Linked DNA regions of Anolis sagrei. The protein of the gene in region 1 purifies or fractionates together with the protein of each later gene. This does not show direct contact. Links are inferred from orthologs where the notes say so. Each region holds a gene or a part of one and is shown on either strand. Other genes may lie near its edges.

Region 1 (16,637 bases):
TATGTGATCCAAGATAGCGCTGTCACATTGAGAATATTAACTATTTCAAACCAGGGCATGGAGTCCAAACTACAGGATTGGGATCTGGGCTGGGATTCTCACCCACATGCTCATGATAGAATATAGTAAATACCCAATTCCATCAAAAATCTGAACATCTTGAGACATACAAAAACATTTTCAACACATTTCTGTTTATCAATTTTATCGACTTTACTAAACATTAAGCTGTTTTGGCATCATTTTCACAATGTTGCAAATTGCTCTTGATATGCCATAAGCAAACATGAAAAACACTGTCACTAGAGAACGCTAGATTTAGAAACTCTAAAATCAATTTATAGATGAAAGACTGAACATAACTGAAACAGCACACATACTTCTCCCTGCTCTTTCAAAACAAATGGAATAACTAATCTTAAGAACAGTTCATGCAACAACAATACAATGGAAAGAACCCAGCAGGATCAGGATTGCAATGTTTTGGCAAAAAAAATCTCCTCCACATAAAACAATAAAGATCATATGGAGAAAAAGCCCAAGAGGTTTACAAGTGAAACTAAATCTTACGCTCCCATCTCTGTGGGTCAATGAATCAACTACGAGTTTTGGTTCAAATATTACAAGAGCTGTCCAAGGTGCTAAGACTATTTTGGGAATATATCTGAATAGCTTGGATAACTTCTTTTCACAGACATGAAAGCCATCAGCTGTCACTGGATTAGTGTAGGCCATAATTTGGTGCTAATGGGGAGTCAGATGACTACAAAATCAATTTTTTTGGAAATCCACTTAGTTCTGTTTCCAAGTTCAAATGTGACTCACATTGTTTGGGTGCTGTTCCAACTGAAAAAGCAGTTTAGTTATGAAGATAGCACATTTTGACATTAGCTGCAATGGGAACCATTAAATACCACCTGAGACTTTATAAGACAACTATAACATGGAATATTCACAACATTACTTAAAACAAGAACAATTACTTACATTCTTCCTACACCTTCATACATCCGTGTTTCATCAGCCAGTGTCATAATTTCTGTATCAGTAAGATGTGCATGCTTTTTTGTCCTATTCAGTTGATCTATCTGTAGATCTGCAAGTTTCACCTTTTGCTGAGTATCAATGACCTTAGCTTGAAGTTCAGTAAATGCCTGATAGGGAAACAGCACAAATAAAGACACAGTTAGCAAAACAATCAAAAACTGAATTTGCTCTCCTATATTTGCTCTCCTTGAGACTTGTCTACATGGGTAAAAACATTATATGAACCCCTCAGGGGCTTCAGTGACCATTCATTTATAATGTATATCTTTGGACTTTAAACTATTTCAAAAATCCTTGCCTTTTATCTTGTGGTTTTACAGAAAATCCAGACTTTTAGATGTGTGGCTGTCTCTCCAGGTAGCTCAATTTGCTGTGTCGCTGGGGGGAGGAATCAATGGTGGGTAGAACTGGTTGGTAAGAGATTAAAGTGGTTGGTAAGAGGTGAACCACTAGAAAGTGGTTCCTTCCCAGACTAATTTTAAAGGCTCACATATTAGTATTAGCATAACCCAATTTAACAAAAAAAGTTTATTTGCATGTACGATGGAAAGAATAGAGAAAATGGGGAGAGTCCAATGTTTGTTTTCCCCCTTAAGCTTCTCAAACCCAATGCTTGCTTCAAGTCTCAGATCAGCTACATTTACATCTATTTCCCCACACAGCCACAGCTGTGAGGAAAGAAAGATGGCGAGTCAACGTGAGCAGGGCTCAGATGAAGTAGGAATTGATATTCCTATGTTTCCTGACCTCACCATCACTTCAGGTTCTCTCTTTTATAATTCACGCCTTGGAGGAAAGCAAGATTTCCTACATGTTCACTCAGTCATCAATCACAATGAAAAGTGCAATCTCTAGAAGTGGGGGACCTGAAAAGGTAACCATGGATGAACTAGATAAGTTCCTCAGATGTCATAATATATCACTGAATACCAAAATCAGGTCTGTCTGTGATACTGCATTTCTGATTTCTATGTATGGTTATAAAAGCTGGACAGAAGAAAAAACTGATATGAAGAGAATCAACTCATTTGAAATGTGCTACTGGAGGAGAGTTTTGTGCATATCATGGACTGCCAAAAAGGAAAATACAGGTAAATGTGTCCTAGAATAAATCGAGCTTGAATGTTCCCTGATAGTTAAGTTGGCTAAGGTGAGACTTCTCATACTTTGGACACACCATGAGAAAACATGATTGACTAGAAGGTATTGTCTTGATAGTTTTTTTAATATCTTAATTATTGTCTTAATAATGGTTGGCAAGGTAAAACGCAGTAGGAAAACTGAAAGGCAACATTTCAGGTGAATAGATTCAATGAGGAAAGTAATAGTCCTGAGTTTCCAATACTTGATAGCACAGGATAGCATAACTAGACATTGTCACAGTCAACAACAAACTTGTACTCCTGTTATTCAGTAAGTCAGCAGAACCTTTTATTCACTTAAATCAAGGGTGAGCAGATGTCAAGGTTGTGAGATCTAATTTGTTATAGTTTACTTCTTATTTACTTACAAATATTCACATAATACTAAGATTCCCTCAAAAATTCTCAAGTAGAGTACAACAGTAAAATATAAAGCAACAACACTATACAAAATAGTATATACTTCTTCTGTCAGGGATGTACAAATTCACCAAAAGCAGGAGCTACTTTTTACCTCCCAGGGACAATATTGTAGCAATGCACCTAAATTGTTAGTGATATGACATCAAAGTATTTTGCAGCACTTCTAACACGTTTCTATGATTATGGGACCAAAAAAGGCCTAATTTTTAATAGGGGCATAGAAGCTTGCAGGGGTGTCCTTAAGAGCTGCAAATATGGAATTTGGGGTTTATTTCCCTGTTTTATGTGGTTCAACAAACTGATATTAGCTTGGGTTAAATGGGGAAGGTTTGTATAAAGTATGTTTCTAACAGAATATTGTTCTAGCATGTATTTACACGAATCCTGAAATTCAGCAACCAGCAATAAATACAAAATGTTCAAGACACACTAGGAATAAGGGGACAAGACATTTCTGAGAATTAGAACAAGCATTTGTTATCAGTATCATATCACAAATTCTTTCCCACAACAGCTTACTCTGGTCTCCCCTTCAACATGTTCTTTAGAAATGTAATTTAGAAAATGAGGGGATTTTTAAAAATTGCTATGTTGTTCAAAGAAATTGAGTCAGAAACCCTTGCTGACCTACTGGAATTAAGTCAGATAACTACAATCTCCCTCAGCTCTGACTTGAGTTAAATAATGATTACAAACTATGTGTCAATGTAATTAATCAAAGATTACACTGAAAATAAAAATAATTATCTAATAGCTGCCTAAGCAACCTATATTTATGTCATCTACTATAATCTCTCTCTAGTAAAACAGCTGGCCTGACTCATTCATTGATATTTACTCAGCTAGTGAAGTGTTCTCCCTGTCACCTCCCTTCATTCAACATGTAGAGAAAGTTTTCATTACACAGCAACTGTAGGTAGGGAGGGAACTTAACACCATTTAATTGCTGTGGAGGGAAAACTACTATAGCCATGCTGAGCCTAAGCTTCGTGAGCTAAGAGCACGAGTTTTCAGGGGGTTCAGTGTTAACACACACTTGCCCACTAAATGTCTGGTTGGTTAGTATAATTATAGCTGTAGTAAAAGATAGCACAGCTGCAACCGTTCAATGAGCAGCATAATCTCAAACTCTCTTTTTAATTTTTTTTAATATCAGGTGTAACAAAATAGTGGATGTTGACAATCCTCCTTTCGCTGTATCCTTTTCATGACATTATATTTTCTACAAAAATCTGTGTTACCATGCAAATACTGTAACAAAGCCTATTCAGATATATTCCTAGAATCAAATATGTTTTATTTTCGGCAGAAAATCAAGAAAACTCTATCACTGTATTTTTGCCTCAACATTAAAGAATCTCTACATACAAAGAAGAACTATCACACTTTTATATACATAATGTAAAATGTAAAATACATGCACACATGTATATGGCTCTAACAGAATGCCAGCCACTCCCAAATAGAGTACACTCATTGAATTAATTGTTGATTAGATAAAACAAAAGGCTTAAATGGGGCTACTGTAGTCAGGACGACCAAGACAGTTTAGGCCACAATCTAATTATAACAAATTATTATTATATGGCATATTGCAGATATGCTTTCCATGCTGACGATTCCAGGCTGAACCTTCAGTAAATAGTATTTCAGATAGAAAGGCTAGGATATACAGTATTTCTGATTGAGATCTAGAAGACACAGAGCAAGTCAAACAGAGATGGAATGATCATGTGAAGGAGTTCAAGACAGGTTCCTATTGCTGTTATAGTTTCAACCCCTCCCGTGATCTTTTTTAACATAATGTGTTCCATATTGTAGCACTAGCATTCACTACACACAGCATTCATAGCATGTCTTCAACAGCTATCCCCCTTTATAATGCTGTGACATACAAAACCAGTTCTAGATATGATTCACAGATAACTAAGAAGAAGAATGACTGTCCTACCCACTACACATCCTCTGGTAAATGGCCATAGCAATAATGATCTGGTTTGTCCAGTAAAATACTGTCTATGCAGAAACATTAAATGAAATTCACAAGTCAAAATCTATGCAGTTAATTACAGACTGTAACAATGTTTTCAAGGATAAATACATTTTCTTACTATTAATTGGACACTAGACAAGGTTGGCACCAATCTGCCTTCTCTTGGAGGAAATGTCCATAGGGAGAGTGTTACTTCAGAGAAGGCTTTGGTATTGAATTCAATACCATGCAAATACTGCAACAAATTATATTATATGGCAGCGTGGACTCAGATAAGGCCTTTGATCTTTGACATTGTTGTTTTTAAATTGTGTTAGATTTTAGCCTGTTCTTGTAAGCCGCTCCGAGCCCCAGGGGAGTGGCGGCTTATAAATTTGAATAATAAATAAATAAATAATCAAAACAGATATTGTGGATTATCTGCCTTGATATTCTGGGTTATATGGCTGTGTGGAAGGACCAAAAGACAATCAAGGAGATGTGTTCTCAAGCTTCTTCTACAATGCCATATAAAATCCAGATTATTTGCTTTGAAGTTGATTATATGGCAGTGTAGACTCATATAATAATCTGGATTATCTGATCTGATAATCTGGATTATATGGCAGTGTAGAAGGGGCTTAGTGTTTTGTTTAAACAAGAAACAGTGGACTCTTCAATGAACTGTATGTGTGAGTAATGCTTCCTTAATACACAAAAGGCAAAATCTCGTCTGATAATTGAGCTAAGCAGGATCAGGTCTGGTTAGTACTTGGATGGGAGACTACCAATAAAAACCAAGGCCCCTTCCACACAGCTGTATGAAATCCACATTGAACTGGATTATTTGGCAGTGTGGACTCAGATAATCCAGTTCAAAGTAGATATTGTGTATTATCTGCCTTGATATTCTGGGTGATACGGCTGTGTGGAAGGGCCCTTCCTTGATTGTTAGAGACTCATACATAAAGGGCTCTGCTTGGATGTTATCTGCTTCTAGATAGCTCTGCCTTGACAATAGACAGACTTTGAGATTAAAGGGCCTAACCCAATGCCTAGTAAGTGGGAAGGTTCTGATGATTTCACTAGAATTTTGTTCTAAGGGGTAGTCCTAGTGATATAATTTTGAGAATGGACATTGACCAGAATTGCTCGGGGTAGGCCATTTGAATCTTTTAAATATGGCAAATAGATATTATATACTAGTGTATATACCCAATGATGCTTGTGTGTGTACTTTCTAATGAGTATTAGGAATACTCATTGTTAACGTTATCATTTTATGAATGTTTCAGGATGGATATACACTGCCCTGCATTCCAGGATCTGGTTCCGGATTATCTGCTTTGAACGGAATTATATGAAGCCCATTCAACCTAGCTGAATAAAATTCTACATTATTTGCTTTGAACTGGAATATATGGCAGTTTGGACTCAAATAACCCAGTTTAAAACAAATATTGTGGAATTTTCTGCCTTGATATTCTCGGTTATATGGCTGTGTGGAAGGGCCCCCGAGTCTACACTGCCAGATAATCTGGGACATTTTCCACACAGCTGTATGAAATCCACACTGAACTGGATTATATAGCATTGTGGACTCCGATAATCCAGTTCAAAGTAGGTAATGTGAATTATCTGCTTTGATAAACTGTATTAGATGGCAGTGAAGAAGGGGCCTGGGAGAACCGGTTCTGAGGCAACTTCCATTTGGCTGTATAAAATTATATGGCAGTGTGGATTCAGATAATCCAGTTCAAAGCAGATATTGCGGATTATCTGCCTTGATTTTCTGGGGCCCCTTCTACACAGATAAATAAAATCACACATTTTCTGCTTTGAACTGGATTATATGGCAATGTAGACTCAGATAATCCAGTTCAAAGTAGGTAATGTTAATGATCTCCTTTGATAATATGGATTATGTGGCAGTGAAAAAAGGGTCTTCTCAACCTGGAGTCCCCAGATGTTTTTGGCCTTCAATTCCCAGAAATCCTAACAGCTGGTAAACTGGCTGGGATTTCTGGGAGTTGTAGGCCAAAAACATCTGGGGACCCCAGGTTGAGAACCACTGGTAAGAGAACCACTTAAGGCCTCTTCTACACAGCTGTATAAAATCCACATTGAACTGGATTATATGGCTGTGTGGACTCAGATAATCCAGTTCAAGGCAGATATTGTGGAGGTCAACCCTCCTGTTTAAGGAGCTCCATTGGCTGCCGTTTACCTACCGAGCCCAATTCAAAGTGCAGGTGCTTACCTACAAAGCCCTGAACGGTTTGGGACCTGCCTACCTGCGTGACCGCATCTCCGCTTACGAACCCACGCGTTCTCTTTGCTCATCCGGAGAGGCCCTGCTCGCGATCCCACCTGCGTCGCAGGTGCGTTTGGTGGGGACGAGGGACAGGGCCTTCTCTGTGGTTGCCACCCGACTTTGGAACACCCTCCCCAAAAACATTAGACTAGCACCCACGTTCACAGTCTTAGGAAGAACTTGAAGACTTGGTTATTCCGATGTGCCTTTCCAGAATAGGATAATCCCCAACACTCTGTACCAGAAGCACTTTATTAGAGTTTAATATTATCTGAACATTGCACTTGCCCAGAACTCCAACATACCACCTCACACATCCAGGACTTTTAACCTGTACCCATCATTGGCCTGGCCCTGATTTTATTGTGTAATAGTGTAATGTTTTGTTGTGTTATTGCTTATGTTTTAATTTGCTTGCATCGTTATTGTTTGTTGTTGTTATGTTGAGGCTTTGGCCTTTGTAAGCCGCATCGAGTCCTTCGGGAGATGCTAGCGGGGTACAAATAAAGTTTAATTATTATTATTATTATTATTATTATCTGTGGGCAATTCCACACAGCCATATAATCCAGAATATCAAGGCAGAAAATCCCACAAGAGCTGCTTTGAACTAGGGGCCCTTCCACACAGCCCTATATCCCAGAATATCTGGGCAGAAAATCCCACAATATCTGCTTTGAACTAGGTTATCTGAGTCCACACTTAGATAATGTGGGATTTTCTGCCTTGATATTCTGGGATATAGGGCTGTGTGGAAGGGCCCTTGGTTATCTGAGTCCACACTGCCATATATTCCAAAGCAGAAAATGTGGAATTTTATTCAGCTGTGTGGAAGGGGTTTTAAAAGCACAGGCACCCACGAGTAGACATAGTCTGATGTTGATAAAAGCCTAAGCCGCCGTTTATGCCGGGTTTTCTAGGCAGAACTGAAGCAGAGGGGGTTGGCTTTGAGGCTGAGAGAGTGTCACCTGCCTCCCACTGCCCTCGCCCAACACTCAAACCGCTTTCCTGTGGCCTAGAGAGGCGGCCCCATCCTGAGGCGATGCTCTGATAGTTTCCTAGTACAAACACTCCAGGAAAAGGCGTTTTGTCTTTATGGCAAAGGCTCCAACAGGGCCTCTGGTGCTGCCATGAGCCCCTGAGAAACTCCGCTCCCGAAAAGACTCGCCTCAGACGACAACGGCCTCACACAGCTCTGGGCCTGAGCTTCGTTTATCTCTCTCCATCCCCACCCGCACCCCCTCCCGCCCCATACCTTTTTCAGCTCAAGGTCCACGGGCGCCGCCATTTTGCCTGCTTTGAACACGACTGCGCCTGCGCGCTGAGCAAGCCGTTCAACTGACGGCGTCCCCTTCGCGTACACATGCCCCGCGCTGCGCATGCGCAATAGGGGGATCCAGGCTAGAACTGTGTACTGTGGATAAGGTTGGACAGGGATACTTGGGTACTAGGTGATTCAGCAGCTCAAGGTCAGCCTGGGCTGGGGGATGCTGTATAGCCCAAACATACTTCAGTCTTAGTTAAAATCCAAGAAATTGCAAGTAGCCAAGTCTGGCCCACACTGGTCTCAGTTCTTGAAGTGTAATCAGAGATGACCCTCATCCCCCAGGACCCTGTAAAAGAGTTCATAATCAGGGAATTCATAGTTTTGCCAAGGACACCAGGCTGGAATGATCCAATAATCACTTATCTCTCCCCCATGGTGGAACCTAAGGCTCTTTCCATGGCCCCACATGGCAACGCCCCTGTAACCCAAACCAGCATCTGATCAATTTGGCTATTATTTATGAATTGGATTCCCTTTTTGTGAATAAAACTCCTGTTTTATGAATGGCTCAGTGAGCTTTGTGTCATCTTACATGAACTCTGGGTGACCAAGATGAATCTTCCCTTGATCCTGCATGCCTTTCCCTTCCCATATAAAATGCAGTATATTCCCCATATCCCCATCCATTATACGTATGTATGTCTGTATATCAGAAAACCAAAGTGCTCTTCCAGCAGTCACCAGCCTATTTATTTATTTATTTATTTATTTGCAACATTTCTATGCCACCCTTCTCACCCTGAAGGGGACTTAGAGCGGCTTACAAGGAACGCCCTTCCTACAGACATTAGGCTGGCGCCATCTCTCATGGCATTCCGAAGAAAGTTGAAGACCTGGATGTTTGTGCAGGCGTTTGAGTAATTTAGTGCAATCTGGTAATGAAACATAGGAATGGAACAATGGACGACGAACCTGGACTACGCTTGGATGATGAGAAGATTGGGTACGGTTGTTTTTTGTAATAATTGTGCATTGTAATTGCTTTTGGTAATTTATGGATAATGTGTTAAGTCAATTGTTATATGTTGTATGGAACCACTGCTGTTTCTACTGTTTTTTTACTGTTTGTGAACCGCTGTGAGTCGCCTTCGGGCTTGAGATACAGCGGTATATAAGCAAAGTAAATAAATAAATAAATAAATACAATATATTATATTATTAGCATAGTACAATATCAGTATTAAATATTACTATATTGTACTATACCATTATATTGTAATATTACATGTAATATAAATATATAATTATATTATTATTAGTATTATATTGCATCAAATTATAATATTATAAATATTTCATGTATATATTTATATTCTCTCTCCAATCCCTCTCCAATGCCAGAAATACAGCTTAATGTTGTAACATTAGAAAATGTTGATCATTTCTGCTACCTTGGCAGCCACCTCTCCACCAAAGTCAACATTGACACTGAAATACAACACCACCTGAGCTTTGCAAGTGCAGTTTTATTCCGAATGAAGCAGAGAGTGTTTGAGGACCGAGACATCCGTAGGGATACCAAGATGCTTCTTTATAAAGCTATTGTCCTCCCAATCCTGCTATATGCCTGAGAGATGTGGACTGTCTACAGACGTCACATGCAACTCCTGGAACGATTCCATCAGCGCTGCCTCCGGAAAATCCTGCAAATCTCTTGGGAAGACAAGCAGACAAAGGGCAGCATGTTGGAAGAAGCAAAGACCACCAGCACTGAAGTGATGGTCCTCCGCCATCAACTCTGCTGGACCGGCCACGTTGTCCGGATGCCCAACCACCGTCTCCCAAAGCAGTTGCTCTACTCCGAACTCAAGAACAGAAAATGGAATGTTGGTGGGCAGGAAAAGACATTTAAAGATGGGCTCAAAGCCAACCTTAAAAATTCTGGCGTAGACACTGAGAACTGGGAAGCCCTGGCCCTTGAGCGCTCTAGCTGGAGATCAGCTGTGACCAGTAGTCTGTCAAGCTAACCCTGACTGAGACCGCCTTCCACCTGGAAACCAATGCCCTCACTGCGGGAGAAGATGCAGATCAAGAATAGGGCTCCACAGTCACCTATGGACCCACCAGTACACCCATCTTGGAAGACTATCCTACTTGGGCAACAAGGGATCGCCTAAGTAAGTAAGTATGTCTATATAAAATATGAAGCAAGGTAACCCTTTCATGAGCTTTGCCACCAACCCAGGGCTCAGGAGTTTTCAAACTTCCTGAGCCAATAATCCCATTAACAAAGGTCTTGACAGAAACTCATTTGCATGGACAATAAGTAAATGGGCCCTTTTCCTGGACTTCGGAGGGCCTTGTTGGCTAGACCATCCAGGACAATGGGACTTATGGACATACAGAATCACCCAACCATACATTTCCCAACTGCAAGGAACCAGGGATTGTCACCGCCTCCCCACTGTGCCATTTCTCCATCTCCAAAAAGGAATTTCAATTCCCATCATCAAGCCAATTTTACAGAGCAATATGACGATGGAACTGGCTCTTTGGAGCTAGACAGAAGACGTTATTTCAAGACTCAAGACAATAGCCTGGGCTGAAGTTTGAGGGCTTAAGCTATCACTTTGGCCCCTTTATCAATACAGGCGCAGAAAGTGCCATTCATAACCCATCATCATGGCATTCTTTTCATTGTTTCCCATTTGCCCATCTCCTTCCACCTCATTGGCTGAGCGGCCAAAGCAGTGGTCGGGCTCTCATTGGATCTCCTGCTGGCTTGCTGACGTCACAGCCAATCACAATGAAGCCAGTTCAGGGGGGTGGGGGTGGGCATGGGAATTTTTGAATCTGACAGCCCTATAAATATTGTTTTTTCTGCCCATCCAGCATGTCAGCTCCTTGGGCAGATAACTGCAGTCATGATCACTTCCAGCTGGAATGAAATAAAACTTTGGTGGCTTTTGCTTCAACTTGGTGAGATTTTATTTTGGAAAATTGAAGGAAAAATCTTTCTTGGTGCTTGCTGTCTTATCAGGTGTTCCGGATCCTCTTTTTGGGTCTGGCCGGTCTCTGTCTAGGTAGGGCCTTCCAAATTCATGTTTGACATCAGAAGGATGTTGTTCCAGACTCCTCTGTTATCTTCACCTATGGCAGTCTACCCCCAGTGCCCCATAATACATTTTTCTTTTGAGGTATTGTGCAAGGGTAACATGCATCCTTGGAGCAAGATCATTCTACAAACACGTACGAGTGTTCCTTCGTTCCTCTGTGGTTGGTCTCCCCAGAGCATCAATGCACACAGAGGGCAGATAGATTTCTTGAGGAGTGGAGATGTTGCACAGACGCAGATGTAGCAATAGCAAAGTAAAGATTTGCCACTTTTGCACAAAACCTCAAGTGGGGGGAAAAATCACAGTGAGCCATTGTGGGAGAAACAGGAGGAGAACATGTGTAGACTCATGAGCGAGACATCTGGAGACAAATTAGAAAAAGAATGTGGAATTGGACACCGTGATACCTCTGTAGCAGTGGTTTCCAACGCTTGGTCCTCCGGATGTTTGGGACTTCAACTCCCAGAATCCCCTGACAGCTTGTCCAACTGTTACAAATTCTGGCTGCCAAAGTGCAAAACTTCTGGAGGAGCAAATGTTGGGAACCACTGCTCTATAGCAACTTACAAAATTAGCACTAATGTTCTAGCAATACAAACACAGTGTGATTTCTAGTTAAGAGCATCCCAATTTGAGAGTATTTTTCTCAGACCGGGTTTCACTTTGATATAAGAGCAGTGTTTTGAATTAAGAGCTAGCATCAGAGGGAGCACTAGCGCAGGAGTATAGGGCTTTGGGGCTTAAAGAGGCAACCTCTGTGTCTCCGTGCCTCATGGTCTGTCCACTTTAGGAGACTGCTGCCTGCTTTGCTCTTGTCCGCTTTAAGAGAGAGTAGATAGATGTTTTGGGGCAACTGAAGAGAACATTTCTGAAACTCTGCTATATGTTTGTTGTGCATTGGCATCTCTTTGTTCCTAACAGTTCAAAGAGATATCTAGGTACATCAGTCTAACTGCTGGGAAACCTAATTGCCTTGCATGAATGCTAGTTGATATTTACCACTAAGGAGAAGGTTGACTCAAGCGAGTTTTTAACTCTTCTCAGGAAGATCATACTTCTGAAACTCTGTTATATATGTTTTTTGTGCATTGGCTTATCTTTGTTCCTAACAGTTCAAAGAGATATCTAGGTACATCGGTCTAACTGCTGGGAAACCTAATTGCCTTGCATGAATGCTAGTTGATATTTACCACTAAGGAGAAGGTTGACTCAAGTGAGTTTTTAACTCTTCTCAGGAAGATCATACTTTGCAAAAGGTTTGGATCTCTAACAAGGTCATGCCTTTCCTAGGGTTATGATTATTCCAAAGGGTTGTGAATATCCATTTTCCAAAAGGTTATGGAGGTACTTTCAAAACATATTATAAGTGGACTATGAGAAGCAAAGGATCTCCAGCAAAGGATCACCGCCTTGTCGGGGCGCTGGAGCTTGAGCACCTCAATGATGTCATGAGCGAAACCGTGAAGGGCCACCCAAGACGGGACGGTTGTGGCAGAGAGGTCAGACCAAGCGTGATCCCTGGGGAAGGCAATGGCAAACCACTCCAGTATCCTTGCCAAGAAAACTAAATGGACCAGTACAACCAGAGATATGTCGGTATGCCATTGGAAGATGGGACTCCCAGGTCGGAAGATGGCCAAAATGCTACTGGGGAGGAGCAGAGGATAAGTTCAACTAGCCCCAGATGTGATGACGCAGCTAGCTCAAAGCCGAAAGGAAGGCTAGCGGCCGACGGTACTGGAGGCGAACGACGAATCCGATGCTCTAAAGATCAACACACCATAGGAACCTGGAATGTAAGATCTATGAGCCAGGGCAAATTGGATGTTGTTATTGGTGAGATGTCAAGACTAAAGATAGACATTCTGGGGGTCAGCGAACTGAAATGGACTGGAATGGGCCACTTCACATCAGATGACCACCAGATCTACTACTGCGGACAAGAGGAACATCGAAGAAATGGAGTAGCCTTCATAATTAATAAGAAATTCGCTAAAGCGGTGCTTGGATACAACCCAAAAAATGACAGAATGATCTCAATTCGAGTGCAAGGAAAGCCTTTCAACATCACAGTGATCCAAATATACGCCCCAACCACAGCTGCTGAAGAAGCAGAAGTAGATCAGTTCTATGAGGATCTGCAGGACCTACTGGATAATACACCAAAAAGAGACATCATTTTCATTACAGGAGACTGGAATGCCAAGGTGGGAAGTCAAATGACAACTGGGATCACAGGCAAGCATGGTCTGGGAGAACAAAATGAAGCGGGACGCAGGCTGATAGAATTCTGCCAGGAAAACTCGCTGTGTATAACGAATACTCTCTTCCAACAACCTAAAAGACGGCTTTATACATGGACCTCACCAGATGGTCAACACCGAAATCAGATTGACTACATCCTTTGCAGCCAAAGGTGGCGGACATCCATCCAGTCGGTGAAAACAAGACCTGGGGCTGACTGTAGCTCAGATCACGAACTTCTTATTGCCCAATTTAGAATAAAACTAAAGAGATCAGGGAAAATACACAGACCAGTTAGATATGATCTCACTAACATTCCGAGCGAATATACAGTGGAAGTGAAGAACAGATTTGAAGGACTAGATTTAGTAAACAGAGTCCCAGAAGAACTATGGACAGAAGTCCGCGACATTGTTCAGGAGGCGGCAACAAAGTACGTTCCAAAGAAAAAGAAAACGAAGAAGGCAAAATGGTTGTCTGCTGAGACACTGGAAGTAGTCCAAGAAAGGAGGAAAGCAAAAGGAAACAGTGAAAAGGGGAGATATGCCCAGTTAAATGCGCAATTCCAGAGGTTAGCCAGAAGAGATAAGGAACTATTTTTAAATAAGCAATGCATGGAAGTGGAAGAAGACAACAGAATAGGAAGGACAAGAGACCTCTTCCAGAAAATTAGAAACATTGGAGGTAAATTTCAGGCAAAAATTGGTATGATAAGAAACAAAGATGGCAGGGACCTAACAGAAGCTGAAGAGATCAAGAGAAGGTGGCGAGACTATACAGAAGATCTGTATAGGAAGGATAACAATATCGAGGATAGCTTTGACGGTGTGGTGAATGAATTAGAACCAGACATCCTGAGGAGTGAGGTTGAATGGGCCTTAAGAAGCATTGCTAACAACAAGGCAGCAGGAGATGATGGGATCCCAGCTGAACTGTTTAAAATCTTAAAAGATGATGCTGTCAAGGTGATGCATGCCATTTGCCAGCAAATATGGAAAACACAAGAATGGCCATCAGACTGGAAAAAATCAACTTATATCCCCATACCAAAAAAGGGAAATGCGAAAGACTGCTCAAACTTCCGTACAGTTGCCCTTATTTCTCATGCCAGTAAGGTAATGCTCAAGATCCTGCAAGGAAGACTCCAGCAATACATGGAGCGAGAGTTGCCAGATGTTCAAGCTGGGTTTAGAAAAGGCAGAGGAACGAGAGACCAGATTGCCAATATCCGCTGGATAATGGAGAAAGGCAGGGAGTTTCAGAAAAACATCTACTTCTGCTTCATTGACTACTCTAAAGCCTTTGACTGTGTGGATCATAATAAATTGTGGCAAGTTCTTGGTGGGATGGGCATACCAAGCCACCTTGTCTCTCTCCTGAGGAATCTGTACAAGGACCAAGTAGCAACAGTCAGAACTGACCACGGAACAACAGACTGGTTCAAGATTGGGAAAGGCGTACGGCAAGGCTGCATCCTCTCACCCAACCTTTTTAACTTGTATGCAGAACACATCATGCGATGTGCGGGGCTGGATGAATGCAAAGCTGGGGTGAAAATTGCTGGAAGAAACATTAACAACCTCAGATATGCAGATGACACCACTCTGATGGCCGAAAGCGAGGAGGAGCTGAGGAGCCTTCTAATCAAGGTGAAAGAAGAAAGCGCAAAAGCCGGGTTGCAGCTAAACGTCAAAAAAACCAAGATTATGGCAACAAGAATGATTGACAACTGGAAAATAGAGGGAGAAACCGTGGAGGCCGTGACAGACTTTGTATTTCTAGGTGCAAAGATTACTGCAGATGCAGACTGTAGCCAGGAAATCAGAAGACGCTTACTTCTTGGGAGGAGAGCAATGTCCAGTCTCGATAAAATAGTGAAGAGTAGAGACATCAGACTTGCAACGAAGATCCGCCTAGTCAAAGCCATGGTCTTCCCTGTAGTCACCTACGGATGTGAGAGCTGGACCTTAGGGAAGGCTGAGCGAAGGAAGATCGATGCTTTTGAGCTGTGGTGTTGGAGGAAAGTTCTGAGAGTGCCTTGGACTGCGAGAAGATCCAACCAGTCCATCCTCCAGGAAATAAAGCCCGACTGCTCACTGGAGGGAAAGATACTAGAGACAAAGCTGAAGTACTTTGGCCACATCATGAGGAGACAAGAAAGCCTAGAGAAGACAATTATGCTGGGGAAAGTGGAAGGCAAAAGGAAGAGGGGCCGACCAAGGGCAAGATGGATGGATGGCATCCTTGAAGTGACTGGACTGACCTTGAGGGAGCTGGGGGTGGTAACGGCCGACAGGGAGCTCTGGCGTAGGCTGGTCCATGAGGTCACGAAGAGTCGGAGACGACTGAACGAATGAACAACAACATGAGAAGTTAAAGCTCACAGCCCAGATAACTGCACATGGATGGCACTGCCCAAAACAGAACTGGATTATACTTTATGAATGTGAATGAATTTCAGAATCTACCAAAAATATACTGAAACAAAATAAAGTACTTCAGTCAGCTGGGGAAGAAGAAAAATCCAGTTATTGTTAGGAATTAGCAGCACAAAGGAAACTTCATTTGGATATCGGAAATAAGAGTGATAGGTAGAGTAATAGGGAATGCCGCATCATGGCAAATGTGGCAGTCTGGAAAAGTTCCTAATATGGAAACAATGAACATATTAATCTTTTTCTAGACTGCAGAAAATGCTGTGTTTGAAAATGAGCCACAAGACCAGGACAATTTTCAGTTGGCATAGTGAAAATATCAGTCATAAGTTTTCGAGGACACCATTAAAAGTTGTACTTCCGATATATAAGTCCCATATCAGCTAAGAAGTTATCTGTGTACCATTTAAGGTTGAGAACAATGCACAGGAAGACTCATCAGTCTCAGCAATGTATGTACCATTAATGCATTTTCCTCACAAAGAAAACTTACAGGAACATGCTCTCTGACATTTTTTTGTTTATGTTTGTCTGGGGTTTTTTTTACTCTTTAGGTATAAACTAAAGGAAAAAGGGACAGAAATGTAAGCAGTTGTGTAGAAACAAGTGTAGGATGCATTGAGTCGGGTTGGGTGTTGCTTTTTCCACTGAGCGTACATTTACACCAGGGAGGATGT
Region 2 (15,934 bases), on another chromosome or scaffold:
TGCTGCTATCAAGTTATTTCATTCTGGAAATAGGAATGGAGTTAACTCAGCCATAAACTCTGTGGGCAGTTCTTCTGTAGGGTAACTTTCTCTTTTCTTCCCAAGCTGTATAATGATTTAGGGCTATGTTTCTCAACCTTCCTAATGCTGCGACGCCTTAATACAGTTCTTCATGTTGCCATAAAATTATTTTTGTTGCTACTTCATAACTGTAAGTTTGCTACTGTTACGAATCATCATGTAAATATCTGATATGCAGGATGTATTTTCAATCACTGGACCAAATTTGGCACAAATACCCAATGCACCCAAATTTGAATACTGGTGGGGTTGGGGAGGGTTGATTTTGTAATTTGGGAGTTCTAGTTCCTGGGATTTATAGTTCACCTATAATCAAAGAGCATTTTGACCCCACCAATGATAGAATTAGGCCAAACTTCTCACACAGAACCCCCATGACTTGAAGGGACTTGCCGGTGCGAGCCTCCCTCCAGCCCCGCATGCTCTCTTTTCCCCATACATGTGCACCACATTGCCGTGCACTGAGCACACCTGCTCTCCCCTCCCTGCTTGAAGTCTCAGAAACAGCCTTCCCCTTGGCTGAGAGGCTGGCTAATAACAGAGGAGGGCTTTTGCTGAGAGGATTTGCCATGTTTCCAAAAAAGGAAGAGGAGAGGTGGAGAGGTCTTCATATATGTTTTCTGATGGTCTTTGGCGACCCCTCTGAAACCCCCTGGGGGGTGCTGACCCCCAGGTTAAGAAACACTGATTTAGGGGGTTGCAATGTAAACTTCAGAATTGTTTATTATAAAAAAATCACCATATAATACCCACCTCCTTTTCTTCTGGGCAAGGTTAAGTTCCATAAATTTATATTTCTGATACTGTTCATCCAACCTCTTGAGGACTATGTCTGCAGTCTCGTTTCCTGCTTGTTTCATAAAAGAGTCTACATCTTCCTTCAAGTAAAAATACAGAGTAAGTGTTAATATCTTCAAAATCTTTGGCTTATGTAGTAAACAGCTGGGACAGTTGGCGAATGCCCAGTCTGTTTTGCAGGGACAGCACCAAGTATTGGTTTGTCAAACATTGCTGATGCCCACATCTCCAGAAAAAAGAAACATCAATAAAAACCCAATTAAGGGCGGGCTTGAGAAACTACAGTACATGCAAACAGATAGTAATGGAGATAGGAAAAAGCAGTAGCTATTTGGATAACACTCGCTGGCTAGCAAATGAGAGAGGTGTAAGAAAGATCGATTTTTGAAGCAATGGTGTTGGAAAAATTGGGACATCTAAGGGCTCCCTAATTCCTGGAACCAGCAACCTAAAAGCAAGGCAGCAGACACGGATCCAAGGTGGGCTAAATTTCTCCTAATCTAGGAGAAAGAGGCATAAACTCACCAACTGCAAAACATCATCATGTTTACAATACACCAAGAGTACTGTAGGTGCTACGTAGACAGTGCAAGCTCACACAATAATTGGGGAGCTGTTCCTTGTCTCCCAAAGGCGGGTTTCATTAGCAAAAAGGTGAGACGGCCCAAAAAAGAGCTCATTCCTAGCACCTAATCTGGCTTGCTGGAACAAGGCTGGGTCTCATGAACACCAGCATTTCGCTGCCAACAGCCGACACTCACATGTCCCTGGACATCCTCAAACAAGGCAGGAAGCCAAAAGTCACACTCTTTGATCATTCTGGGCACCCAATGCTCAAAGGTAAGCTGCTTTTGAAGATTCAGCAGTTGCAGCTAATAGTTGCCGCTGGCTATTTGTCTCATCCTGTTTTAAGAAGCTTTCTCAGCTAGTGAACTGATTACTACAGACTGTAGTCTGCATGTAGAGCTGGTAAAAATCAAGTCTATTGAGCTTTGGAAATATAAATATAAACTGGGCACTCCCATCCCTTTTGCAGTTTCTTATATAGAGAATTTTGTAGAATAGCCAGCCAGATATGCCTGCAGTATTAAAAATGAATGATCCCAGCATGTAAATATACACAGAACTCTTTTGACATGACTCTTAATGGATCAACAAGTTAAATATTAGTATTTTAAAGGACTAATGTCTCCCAACATCAATGGGAGTGCTTGTAAAAATGTAGGATTCCAGCAAAAATAAGGCCACGAGGGAGTAAGGGAGATGGCACACTTGAGGGGACATTTAAAAAAGATTTCTTCAAAGGATCATAGATTCTCAACAACCAGAAAATGAAGATGACAAGCAGAACCAAATAAGACACAGTAATAGGGATTCGCACAGAATCCTTAACAGAAATACATGGAAGGAAGATACTGTACTAATTGAATGAATATCCCAAAATGAGAATTGCAAGTCTCACTCGAAAAGATTTATTTGCATACCGTTGCACATCCTACTTGAATAGATCAAACATTGCTCTTCTTCCATCACCATACCAACTTGTACATTCTCACGCACAGTTCAAACACACTACAGATATATTCACATGATATATCCAGGATAGACAACTGCAATGCACTCTATGTGGAGTTGCCTTTGAAGACTGTTTGGAAGCTTCAAAGAGTTCAATGAGAGGCAGTCAAGTTAATAACTGGGGTGGCGTACAGGGAGCATACAACTCCCATGTTACATCAGCTCCACTGGCTGCCTGTTTGCTACTGGACACAATTCAAAGTGCTGACTTTGGCCTATAAAGCCCTAAATGGCCCTGGCCCAAATTACCTGTCCGAACGCATGTTCCTTTACGAACCACTGCAAATACTAAAATATTCTGGGGAGGCTCTACTCTTGGCTCCGTCAATGTCACAGGCGCATTTGGTGGGGTGAGGGCCTTCTCAGTGAGTGCCCCATGGCTATGGAACTCCCTTTCTGGCGAGATTAGATCAGCCCCCTCCTTTCTGTCCTTCAGAAAGATGGTAAAGACCCGGATGGGACCAAACCTTTGGGCAGTGCAATGGTACAATAGGGAACCTACTCCGATAATCGGAGCCAGCATGGTTTTAAACATCTGATTTTAATGTTTGTGTATATTTTATAATTATTTTAAGCCTGGCATGGAATGTTTGCCGTTTGTATGTTGTAGTCCGCCCTGAGTCCCCTTTGGGGTGAGAAGGGCAAAATATTAATGTTTGAAATACATAAATGTATGTGTCTTCAAGTTTCTTGTCAATTTTTGGCAATCCCATTAATTTTATATGGTTTTCTTAGGCAAGGAATACCTACAGCAATGAATAAATATTATGAGGCAATCTCCCATTAAAAGTTAATTTCCCATGGCTAACTTTGAAGTTCTGTTTAATTTTCACTTGACCTAAGTGCATCCTAAGAGACAGGTTTCATTCCACAATATTCAAGGATGGTCTATTCCTGCAATTTGCCTCACTAACGTTACCAGGCCAGCTGTGCTATGAATTAATACATCAATACAAATGCTCATCAATTTATATAAGTGAATAAATATTATAAAATATTTCATGTCCAGTCATCTGGAAGCATTTTCAGTACTTGTCACATACCTTTTGCCTTCTCCCTAAGTCTCATGAAATTGGCACATAAAGTTTAATTTTTTTCATTCAAATGGTCAAGTTGATTACTTCATGCTGCCCTTTTATCTTTTGATATTTGTTGCTGTTGTTGTGTACATTCAGGTTGTTACCAACTTATGGCGACACAAGGTAAACCTATCAGACTTAGAATCACTCTTCACATCTAGGCAAAGGAAAGAGAGTCATCCTGAAAAGCACTAACTCTGCATTAGAAACTGAAAATAAGTCTGTCTTCTTCATGGCAGGTATATGAAACTGACTTTAATCAGAGCATTAGATTTTTCTTACTCTTTGTCCTATGTTTTTTTCAATCTTGCTGAAGCATCCAGGGATTGAAATTCAGGGTTCTACAACTCAGCTATGACTCAGCCTCCACTCATTCAAACATTTTAATAAAAGGTGCTCCTTCCAGAATGAAAATTGCTGAAGCAGCCCAAGTGCTTTAAATAAAGAAATAAAACATGGAGTTTTTAGCAGACCCTCCATTACGATCAATTACTTCGTTACACCTTACAAACAGTGCTTCGTCATGAGCTGGACCATTGCTCCAACTCTAACTAGTCATAATGACTCTCTAGGATTTTAAGCAGGATCTCTGCATTCCATGGTGGCCTCCTATTCAATGCCAATCGCAGTCTCTCAGCTTCAAAGGAAGGCAAAGGCAAATATCATCTGAACAAATCTTGCCATGAAAACCCATGATAGGTTTGCCTTATGGTCACCATAATTTTGAGGCAACTTCAAGGAAAACTATTATTATTACATTATTATTAATATCCTGTTTTGCTCTCTTGATTGAAACTAAGTAGCACACAACATTCAAAATAATGCAATCAAAAACCTACAGCATCTAAATATTTAAATACAAGGAAGCCTACAATAATTAAAACAAGTCAAACAGCCACAAGTGGAATTAAAACTAAGCAAGTTGTCAATGTCTTGAAGGCAGTCACATTGCATTAATATAAAACTAGAATACATTAAATAAAGCTATGACCTCGGGTAGAGAAAACCTGTCATAACGTTTACTTCCTGCAAGGACATCTAGCAATGAGACTCCAAGGCAGTTACACCTTTCAAGGAGAAGAATGAGATCTCTATTATGATGAAGGGAAAAAAGGGCAAGGACCTGATTTAATGAAGAATAAAAGGTTTGATTAGTAAACAGCAATATGAAATGAAGAGTAGGTTTGATTAATAAATAGCCTTAGTCTTTTCACGGAGATGAAATCAATTGCAGGGTCTGCCATGAGGAACAGGCAGGAAGACAACTCACATAGATAATAAATGAGCAATAAAAATGCCAAATGGAAGTTGCAAGGAAGGGAAGGCAGAAGCAATTAACAGCTGATGGTCTTTCCTAGTTGTGTATGTGTGTGGATAGTTTGTGTATGTGTATATATATAGAATATATATGTATATATAGTATATACATACTTTATTTGTACACTGCCACCATCTCCCTGAAGGGACTCGGAGCGGTGCACGAAAAGTACCCAATAGTGCAGTACACACAAAATACAACAAGATACATAACAAATAAAAACAATTAAAAATGAGTTCAGAAAACACTAACTGCATAAACTAATGGGGGGTGTATGCTCCCTATAACTAGCCCCACTTAGTAATCTGGCTGCCGACCTTTGGGCTAATTGCAGTTTCCGAGACATCTTGAAAGGCAGCCCCACGTAGAGTGCATTGCAGTAGTCCATTCTAGATGTAACTAAGGCATGAAGCACTGTGGCCAAGTCAGGCTTTTCGAGGTTGCAGTTGCTGCACAAGGCCCTCCCAGCCACCGCCAACACCTGGGCTTCAACTGTCAGTGCTGAGTCCAGGAGGATCCCCAGATTGCAGGCCTGTGTCCTCAGGGGAAATGTAAACCCGTTGAGCACAAGTTGCTACTCTATACCCTGACTGGCCTCGAGGACCGCTGTCTTGACCGGATTAAGCCTCAGCTTCTTGGCCCTCACCCAGTCCATCACATAGAATCATAGAGTTGAAAGAGACCTCATGGGCCATCCAGTCCAACCCCCTGCCAAGAAGCAGGAAAATTGCATTCAAAGCATCCCCGACAAATGACCATCCAGCCTTTGTTTAAAAGCTTCCAAAGAAGCCTCCACTACACTCCCATTAAAACAGAGAGTTCCACTACTGAACGGCTCTCACAGTCAAGAAGTTCTTCCTAATGTTCAGACTGAATCCCCTTTCTTGTAGTTTGAAGCCACTGTTCCGTGTCCTAGTGTCCAGGGAAGTAGAAAACAAGCCTGCTCCCTCCTCCCTATGACTTCCTCTCATATATTTGTACATGGCCATCATGTCTCCTCTCAGCAGAATCTCTCACTTCTTGGGATGTTACAGTAGCGCCCGGTTTGCATCATAATACCAAGTTGTTCAAACCTAGCCCTAGTATATATTCATCTTAAGGGCAGTGTAAATGGAATAGTTAGGTAGTGCTCTAAATGAATATCCCTTTTGTGGGAAGCTAAAAACTCTCCTCCCTATGCCTTCCTCTCACACACCTATACATGGCTATCATGTCTCCTCTCAGCCTTCTCTTCTTCAGGATAAACATGCCCAGCTCTTTAAGCCACTCCTCATAGGGCTTGTTCTCCAGACCCTTGATCATTTTAGTCGCCCTCCTCTGGACACATTCCAGCTTGTCAATATCTCTCTTCAACTGTGGTGTCCAGAACTGGAAACAATATTCCAGGTGTGGTCCAACCAAGGCAGAATAGAGCATGGGGAGCATGACTCCCCTGCATCTAGACCAGGGGTCCACAAACTTTCTAAATGGAGGGCCAGGTCACAGTCCCTCAAACTGTTGGAGGGCCAGATTATAATTTGAAAAAAGAAAAACATGAATGAATTCCTATGCACACTGCACATATCTTCTTTGTAGTGCAAAACATTTAAAAACAATACAATAATTAAAATGAAGAACAATTTTAACAAATATACATTTATTAGTATTTCAATGGGAAGTGTGGGCCTGCTTTTGGCTGATTAGATAGGATTGTTGTTGTTGTGTGCTTTCAAGTTGTTACAAACTTAGGAAGACCCTAAGCGAGGGCCGGGTAAATGACCTTGGAGGACCGTATTTGGCCCCCGGGCCTTAGTTTGAGGACCCCTGATCTAGACACTATACTTCTATTATAGAAACTATAACTCTACTGATGCAGGCCAAAATCCCATCGGCAGAAAACAAGCTTGCTCCCTCCTCCCTATGACTTCCTCTCACATATTTATACATGGCTATCGTGTCTCCTCTCAGCCTTCTCTTTTTCAGGCTAAACATGCCCAGCTCTTTACGCCGCTCCTCATAGGGCTTGTTCTCCAGACCCTTGATCATTTTAGTCCACCTTATCAATATCTCTCTTGAATTGTGGTGCCCAGAATTGGACACAATATTCCAGGTGTGGTCCAACCAAGGCAGCATGACTTCCCTGGATCTAGACACTAGACTCTTATTGATGCAGTCCAAAATCCCACTGGCTTTTTTTCCCGCCAGGAAGCTTACGCAGGCAGGGCAATATACATCAAGGGAAGGCAATAGTCTCAGATGTAAGAAAGTTCACACAGGAATGCTGTTTTGATGGACTGAACCAAATGGGAGCCTCAAAGCAGGGAGAAAAGTTCAAACAGGACCCAGGAATACAAATAAATTATTATTATTATTATTATTATTATTATGCACGAAATGCTTTTGACACGAAATGAAATAAGCAGTTAAAGAGGGACAACAGTATTACAACAGTGCAGTGTGGTAGGGCCTTAAGGAAGACTGAGGCCTACAAGCCTTCACAGTGGACACCCTGCGCATGCGCACAAGGGACCCCCTCCCCTCACAGCCTTCCAGGCCCAACGGTAGCCGGTTCCGAGTAAAGGCTCCTCGGCCTCTCGCTCGCCCCCTTCCCCCGCCCTCTACTCACCACGAACACGGCCTCCGGGATCCCCAAGTGGCCCCTTTTCCCGCCCCCCGCCGGGCCGTCGCCACAAACCACCGCCTCGCCGCTTGTGGCCGCCGCCATTTTGGGGAGGAGAAGAAGACGAGGGGCGGGGTTAAACGGCACGAAAGGACACGCGCATGCGCGTCAACGCGCCCGAGGCGCCTCAAGGAAAGGGGCTCGGCGTCGCCTGACGACAGCGACGACGCTAAAGCGATGTGGGCGGGACAAAGCGTTCCCCGATTGGTCAAGAACGGCCTTGATTGACTGATTGGAATGAACCCTTATGGCGCATGCTCAGTCCTAGGCTGGAGCTGGAGGGAGGTATTCTGTGATCATTTGGATTGCAAAGTTACTTTTTTTTTTGGACTCTTGCTCCCAAATACAATCACCCAACACTGAGTGGAGAGTTGGGGAGTATATATATATATATAAATTTATACAATATGTTTATTGTTTATATATTTATACAATATGTTGTTTATTTATTAATTGAATTAATTAAATACATAAATAAATAGCAATATAACGATATATAGAAATAATAATTTTGTAATGTAGTGGTGTTGGTATATTGTATGTAATATACCAACACCCAGTGAAGGCGGATCTGGCTGGGGTGGTCCATGCCTTAGTCACCTCTAGATTGGACTACTGTAATGCACTCTACGTGGGGCTGCCCTTGAAAACGGCCTGGAAATTCCAGTTGGTACAACGTGCGACACTCGGTGGAACACCTCAGCAAGCGAGAGTCCAAAAGTGGCAGGCTCAAACCCAGAACCGAACCAATGGCTGATACCAAATGAGAGACTCCCCCCTTGGTACACAGAGGACTGGGCGACTTGGAAGGCGCTGAACAGACTGCGCTCTGGCACCACAAGATGCAGAACCAACCTCCAGAAACGGGGCCACAAAGTGGAATCCATGACATGCGGGTGTGGAGAAGAGCAAACCACTGACCACCTGCTGCAATGCAACCTGAGCCCTGCTACATGCACAATGGAGGACCTTCTTGCAGCAACACCAGAGGCACTCCAAGTGGCCAGATACTGGTCAAAGGGCATTTAACCAACTACCAAATTCACAAGTTTTGTATTTTGTCTGTTAGTTTGCTTTGTTCTGTTAGAAATGTAATATAATGGACTGGTTGCTCTGACACGACAAATAAATAAACGTGTGGCGGTCAGGCTGTTAACTGGTGCTCCTTACAGGGAGAGGTCAACCCTCCTGTTTAAGGAGCTCCATTGGCTGCCATTCATTTTCCGGGCTCAATTCAAGGTGCAGGTGCTTACCTACAAAGCCCTAAACGGTTTGGGACCCATCTACCTTCATGACCGCATTTCTGTATACGAACCCACACGATCCCTGTGTTCATCTAGTGAAGCCCTGCTCACAATCCCACCTGCTTCACAAGCGCGATTGATGGGAACGAGGGACAGGGCCTTCTCGGTGGTGGCCCAGCCACTCTGGAACTCCCTCCCCAAGGATATCAGACAGGCTCCAACATTGGCAGTCTTTAGAAGGAGCTTGAAAACGTGGATGTTTCAGCGTGCCTTCCCAGAATAAGGAATCTTAAGCAATATGTCCTTAATGCACTTTATGAGAGACTTAGAACTGTCTGCACTTTCTCCTATCCCAAAACATTCCTCCTATCCCCTGTGAACTTCCCAGTTTTTAACTTTAAATCTTTACATTTGGCCCTGCTTCATGTTTTTAAACTGTGTCGTGTTATTATTGTATTGCTTTTGCTTTTTGAGTTATTTGTTGCTGTTGTTGTTTTCATGTTGTTTTGGACTTGGCCTCCTGTAAGCAGCACCGAGTCCTGCGGGAAATGGTAGCGGGATATAAGAACAATAAAATAAAATAAATATGTAATAATAATGTTGTAATTTAATATATTGCATATTGTATATACTACAACTTAGGATATGGCACAATCTATATAAATAAAATGTAATGTTAGTTTGTGGGATTAACATAACTCAAAAACCACTGAACGAATTGATGCCAAATTTGGACACAAGACACTTATCAGGCCAAAATACTGAAAAACACAGCAGAAAGGACTTAAAAAAAACAAAAACAAAGAGGAGCGGCTTAAGGAGCTGGGCATGTTTAGCCTGAAGAAGAGAAGGCTGAGAGGAGATATGATAGCCATGTATAAATATGTGAGAGGAAGCCACAGGAAGGAGGGAGCAAGCTTGTTTTCTGCTGCCCTGAAAACTAGGATGTGGAATAATGGCTTCAAACTACAAGGAGATTCCATCTGAACATGAGGAAAAACTTCTTGACTGTGAGAGCAGTTCAGCAGCGGAACTCTCTGCCCCAGAATGTGGTGGAGGCTCCTTCTTTGGAGGTTTTTAGGTTGGCCCATGAGGTCTCTTCCAACTCTATGATTCTATGATTCCTTCCTTCCATCCTATCTTTTTTCTTTCCTTCCTCCTTTCCTCATATATTTTCTCCTCTTCCTTTCCCTCATACTTTCCCCCTCTTATTTCCTTTCTCATCCCTCCCTTATTTCATCCTTCCTTTCCTTCCCTCATACCTTTCCCGTTTCTTTTCTTTCCTTCCTTTTTCTTCTCCCTTCTTTTTCTTCCTTTCTCTTCTCTCATTTTTATTCTCCTTACATCCTTTCTTTTTTCCTTCCTCCTTTCCCCATACATTTTCTATTCCTTTCCCTCTTCTTTCTCATCTCTCCCTTCTTTCATCCTTCCTTTCCTTCCCTCATACCCTTTCCCATTTTTTCCTTTTTTTCTTCTCCCTTTTCTTCCTTTCTCTTCCCTCATTTGTCTTCTCCTTTCATCTTTTCCTTTCTTTTCTTTCTTTCCTTCCTCCTTTCCCCATACATTTTCTCTTCCTTTCCCTCATACCTTCTCCCTCTTCTCTTCTTTCTCATTCCTCCATTCTTTCATCCTTCCCTCATACCTTTTCCCATTTGTTTTCTCCTCTCCTTCCTTTTTATTCTTTCTTTTTCTTTCTCTTCCTTCCTTTTCTTTCTCCCCTTCCCACCCTTCCTCCCTTCTTTCCTTACCCTCATATATTTTATATCTTTTTGTTTCCTTCCATCTTTTTCTTTTCCCCCTCCACCGTCCCTCCTTTCCCCACCTCTTTCTTTCTTTCTTTCTTTCTTTCTTTCTTTCTTTCCTTCCTTCCTTCCTCCCTTCCCCTCAACACACATGCCACTTCTTTTCTTTCCTAGTAACATCACAGAGGGCCACTTCACCTAGCAACAGCCAATCCTTCTGAAAAGGTGGCCAAGTGTTGCTTTTTTCCATCTCAGATCACAAAGCATGAGCCTTCCTGATAATTTTGGAATTGACAGAAAGCAACTCTCAGTTCTTGAAACTTTTGAATGGGTCCTTCCATTGCATAAATTCACAATGGTGCTGAGGAAATGATACAGTTTGCTGAATAACCAATATGTGATTGCCTCGAAATTAAAGGTGATTTTAACAGACATTACACACACACACATCCAAGCCAACTTTGTGCCAAAGTTTATTTTTCAAAACCTGTTTCATTAACAAAACGGAGGATTCTATGCAACAGTCTCATTCATTTCCATTTCTATACATCCTGCCAAGTTATGAAGGGTCGAGATTATCAAAACGTTAACGTAGCAAACCTTGTGCTTCAGCAAAATAAGGAATTGGGAGAAAAGAAAGGAATTGAAAACAACTTTTTTTGGCTAGATGCATCATGGTCACTTTTCACAACTTTTCAGAGAGAAATTACATCCATCTACAAAAGAACATGCAGAATTGGGCAAAAGACATACTCTGAGCAGGTGAAATACCACATTAGACCCCACTGATCTGTATCAAGTATGATGTATTTAAAAAACTTAACTGAGAGAAGCATTTTCAAATGTGATAAATAGAAAAAAATGCAGAATCCATATTTTATTTCAAAATACATTCAATCCATAATGTCTTCTTAACGTGACAGCTTGGATTTCCAGGTTGAATTAAATGGTTACACGGGCTTTAAATATGATTTTTTTAAAAAATAAAACAATAGGTTGAACCCAGGTTGACAAAGGACCTCATCACACTAGAGAATGAATCCACTTTCAATCCGGTTTCTGCCTCCTACAGAATTCTGGGGTTTGTAGTTTAGGGAGGAGTCTTTAACAGTGGGTTAAACCCTTGTGCCAGCAGGACTGAAGACCGACAGGTCGCAGGTTCGAATCCGGGGAGAGGCGGATGAGCTCCCTCTATCAGCTACAGCTCCTCATGCGGGGACATGAGAGAACCATTCCACAAGGATAATAAAAACATCAAAATTATCCGGGCGTCCCCTGGGCAACGTCCTTGCAAACGGCCAATTCTCTCACACCAGAAGCGACTTGCAGTTTCTCAAGTCGCTGCTGACACAACAAAAAAAAAAAACAACTAAATTACAAACCCCAGAATTCTGCAAGAGACAGAAACTGGATTTAAAGTGGATTCATTCTCTAGTCTGATGAAGTAAAAAGTGATGTTCTTGATTAATTTGGTGTGTCATGTAACTCTTGCATTGACAAAGATCACACTATTGTTGGTTGATCGTGGTGAATTGAAAGACTTTCAATACAAACATCCATTATTTAACCCGCAGGGAGTTCAAGTAAAGTGGCAATGGTCACTGGCATCAAAACTGGTTTAAAAACTTTGCATTGTTTAAAGCAAAGGGGAAAATCTTTACAAGCCAATATATGTATTTACACTACAGTTACAGCAGCTCTGTACCACTTTGTCACGGTTCCATTCTATGGGATCTAGGGAATCATAGTTCCTCTCTTCTGAAGTACACTAGTGATGTCACGCAAAGAAGTGCAAGATTCAGGAAATTACAAATCCCAGGATTCACAGGAGACAGCCATGGCACTTAGACTACGACTGAAAGACTGTAGCATCAACTCCGTTTCAAGTAGAATCTCTCTTCCAGAGCAATGTCCTTCAAGCTCTGCACAGGATTAATGAGCTGGAGATACACATTTTGTAAAATTTGGCTTATAGGGTTCTTTAAAAATGGCCAACAAACTTTCACATCAGAAAAACTGTATCCTCACGCTTTCATCAAAATCTGGTGAACAATGCTAATATATTTTGCGCTCCACATCATTGTTATGGGGATAACTAGACTAACTACTTCATCACACTAGAGAATGGATCCACTTTAAATCTGGTTTCTGTCTCTTGAAGAATTCTGAGGTTTGTAGTTTAGTGAGGCTTTTAAAGGCTCCTGCTTAAACTACAAAGCCCAGAATTCTGCAAGAGGCAGAAATCTGATTTAAAGAGTATTCATTCTCTAGTGCAGGGGTCCTCATACCTTTTAAACAGAGGGCCGGATCACAGTCCCTCAAACTGTTGGAGGACTGGATTATAATTTGAAAAAAGCATGAATGAATTCCTATGAACACTGCACATATCTTATTTGTAGTGCAAAAAGGACTTAAAAACAATACAATAATTAAAATGAAGAACAATTTTAACAAATATAAACTTATTTGTATTTCAATGGGAAGTGTGGGCTTGCTTTTGGCTAATGAAATAGGATTGTTGTTGTTGTGTGCTTTCAGGTCATTTCAGACTTAGGTTGATCCTAAGCGAGGGCCGGGTAAATGACCTTGGAGGGCCATATCCAGCCCTTGGGCCTTAGTTTGAGGACCCCTGCTCTAGAGCATCAGAAAGTCTGAAGCTGCTGAGTAGCACCAGTACAACCAGGCAGCATGTAAGGACCTCAGCAGTGGCTCTCAACCTGTGGGTCCCCAAGTGCTTTGGCCTACAACTCCCAGAAATCCCAGCCAGTTTACCAGCTGTTGAAGGCCAAAACATCTGAGGACCCACAGGTTGAGAATCACTGCTGAGGTACTTACATGCTGCCTGGTTGTACTGGTGCTACTCGGCAGCTTCAGCTGTTGTTGAAATGCAACTCCCAGCGTTCTCATCACTGACTCTACTGGCCGAGGGATTTACATTCCTGCACCACCTGAAGATTCATGTCATTGATCTCATAGAGGTAACTTCTACAAACGCTGCACTTACTTCTGGTCTATTTGTTTCACAGCTCAGTGCCTCCAGGACTACACTGAACGCTGTGAGAAACGCTTGGCTGAATTTCATACACAAGTCTGCAAGGACAGTGGAGAGGGAAATGGAAGAGGGAATGAATCAGGGACTAGAATAGAGGTGTAGCTCATTCCGCCAAAGCTGTCATGACAATGAACTCACCCAGAGGGAAATTTCAATTTCCACTAGTAATGGCCCTGAACGTTCAAGGGATATGTATCGGCATTGGCGTCTTAGGCAAAACTAGTTCCCTTCCTTCCTGACACATTTGCAATCCTGCCTCCATGCCTGGCTGCCAAAAAACGTGTGAAATCTGATCATATACCCTATTTGCTCAAATTTAATGCTTCTTTTGGTACCTTTTTGGCTATATTAGCTTACCCAAATAAGAGTATGCATTAAAAGGTAAAGGTTTCCCCTTGACATTAAGTCTAATCATGTCTAACTCTGGGGAAAGAGCTGGCATTGTCTGTAGACACCTTCTAGGTCATGTGACCGGCATGACTACATGGAGCGCCATTACCTTCCCGCCGGAGAAGTAATGATTGATTTCACATTTGCATGTTTTCGAACTAAGTTGGCAAAAGCTGGGGCAAACAGCGGGAGCTCACTCCACTACCCAGATTCAAACCAGTGATCTTTGGGTCAGCAAGTTCAGCAGCTCAGCGGTTTAACCCACTGTGCCACCGAGGGGCTCCCAAAGTATGCATTAGATTCATGTAAAATGGCCCTCTTAGCACTGGGCCAAAACAAAGGAGGAAGCTGCTACAGGAGCACTTGGAGCTCCTATTGGAGGAACATAATCTGTATTTTTTTTTTGTTTAAGGGTTTTGAAAATTGAGATCCGCATTAGATTTGATGGTGCATTAGACTTGAGTCAATATGGTATTTGTCGGATATCAAGCTGGTTCTGACTGCGTTCTCACTTAGTAGTAGCCTAGAAAAAAATCTGAGCGACATTATGCCCACAGCAGTTAAGGCAAAGAGAGGCAATAATTGCATGTCCAGGTCATAAGGAAGGACAAACCCAACAGGCCAAGCCAGATCCATGTAGGTAAAGCCTTGGCAAACAGGTCCCCATTTCAATGACACCAAAGTCCAGCTAATTTAGTTTGGATCTCACCAAGTACACAGTTTAAATGAATTATACTTCATTTGTCTGTCCCAAAACCAAGTTAAATCTCTCATCTACAGTGGATTATAGGTTGTCTCCACCTGCCACCAGCTCTTTCTGGCATTTCCTACCAAACAGCTTAAGAAGGGCAAGGAATCATATTCTTCTGTTTTAGATACAAGGCGCAATTCAAATCCTATTTTAAATACAGATTTTAAATACAAAGGTTCTGAAAACAACACAGCTCTGGGAACAGGTATGTAAGGATGAACTGATAACAGACTCACCCTATACAAAGGAAACCTTCCCTCTTGGAAGGCACAAACCGAGTGTGTTTTAAGACACATAAACAAATGCAAAAGAAGGGGATATGGGCCAAATAATTAGAAGAATGTGTTCAGCTCAAAAGATGGAGCCCCTGGTGGCATAATGGATTACATCCTTGTGCCGGCAGGACTGCTGACCAAAAGGTCAGCGGTTCGAATCCAGGGAGTGGAGTGAGCTCCTGTCTGTCAGCTCCAGCTTCTCGTGCAGGGACATGAGAGAAGCCTCCTACAGGACGGTGACACATCTGGGCGTCCCCTGGGCAATGTCCTTGCAGACAGCCAATTCTCTCACGCCAGAAGTGACTTGCAGTTTCTCAAGTCGCTCCTAACACAGAAAAAAACCTCAAAAGATGGGTTTAGCACCTTTGTTTCATCGTTCAGTGTTCTGGAAAAACCCAGCCAACTAGTTCGTACAAATGACTATAGAAATGTAAGTTAAATGGCGACATAGGGAGAGAAGAAAGACTATCTTGGCCATTAGAATCTTTGAAAACAAAGGCTTTATCAGACAACTATGGACAAAAATGCATCCACTATACATTTTAAGCAGTACATTATGGTCAAAAAAGTCTAATTACATCTTCAAAGTCCAGAGCAGTATTTCTATTCCTAGTTTCCAGTAACTGTAGCAAGAGCATGCACAGTTTCGATCACTCAGCAATCTCATCTTTAGAGTGGAAATAAGCAACTGATACATGACGCAGTTCAATGTTATCATCACAAACGCAAGCCATTTAAGAAAGTTTTCCCTTTTATGTACAAATAAAAGCACCGATCCACAGTGCGTTCAGCTCTAAAATTTGAAACCTAACTTTCCCTAACACAAGAAACAAACAAATTAAAAAAATCCACAGATCTGTATTTAATTTTAAAGTCAAGGAAAGTATACTTGCTTTTTTTAAAAAAACTCTACACATTTTTACTATATGCAGAGAACTCAAATATCTTTATTGATTTTTCTTTTTCTTTT

What was found.
Region 2: the proteins of PFDN1 (region 1) and VBP1 purify together in Homo sapiens (affinity purification with mass spectrometry; 4 studies listed by BioGRID and IntAct, counting the BioPlex papers as one, with this or other methods). This does not show direct contact. The link is inferred for Anolis sagrei from reciprocal best matches to the Homo sapiens genes PFDN1 and VBP1.

The regions. Positions count from the first base shown.
Region 1 is NC_090024.1:136,878,721-136,895,357, reverse strand, and holds the start of PFDN1 (prefoldin subunit 1), read right to left. Parts: upstream 8,262-16,637; 5' UTR 8,187-8,261; coding exon 8,154-8,186; intron 1,155-8,153; coding exon 988-1,154; intron 1-987. UniProt on the Homo sapiens protein: Binds specifically to cytosolic chaperonin (c-CPN) and transfers target proteins to it. Binds to nascent polypeptide chain and promotes folding in an environment in which there are many competing pathways for nonnative proteins.
Region 2 is NC_090030.1:17,410,170-17,426,103, forward strand, and holds the start of VBP1 (prefoldin subunit 3), read right to left. Parts: upstream 7,594-15,934; 5' UTR 7,556-7,593; coding exon 7,457-7,555; intron 960-7,456; coding exon 835-959; intron 1-834. UniProt on the Homo sapiens protein: Binds specifically to cytosolic chaperonin (c-CPN) and transfers target proteins to it. Binds to nascent polypeptide chain and promotes folding in an environment in which there are many competing pathways for nonnative proteins.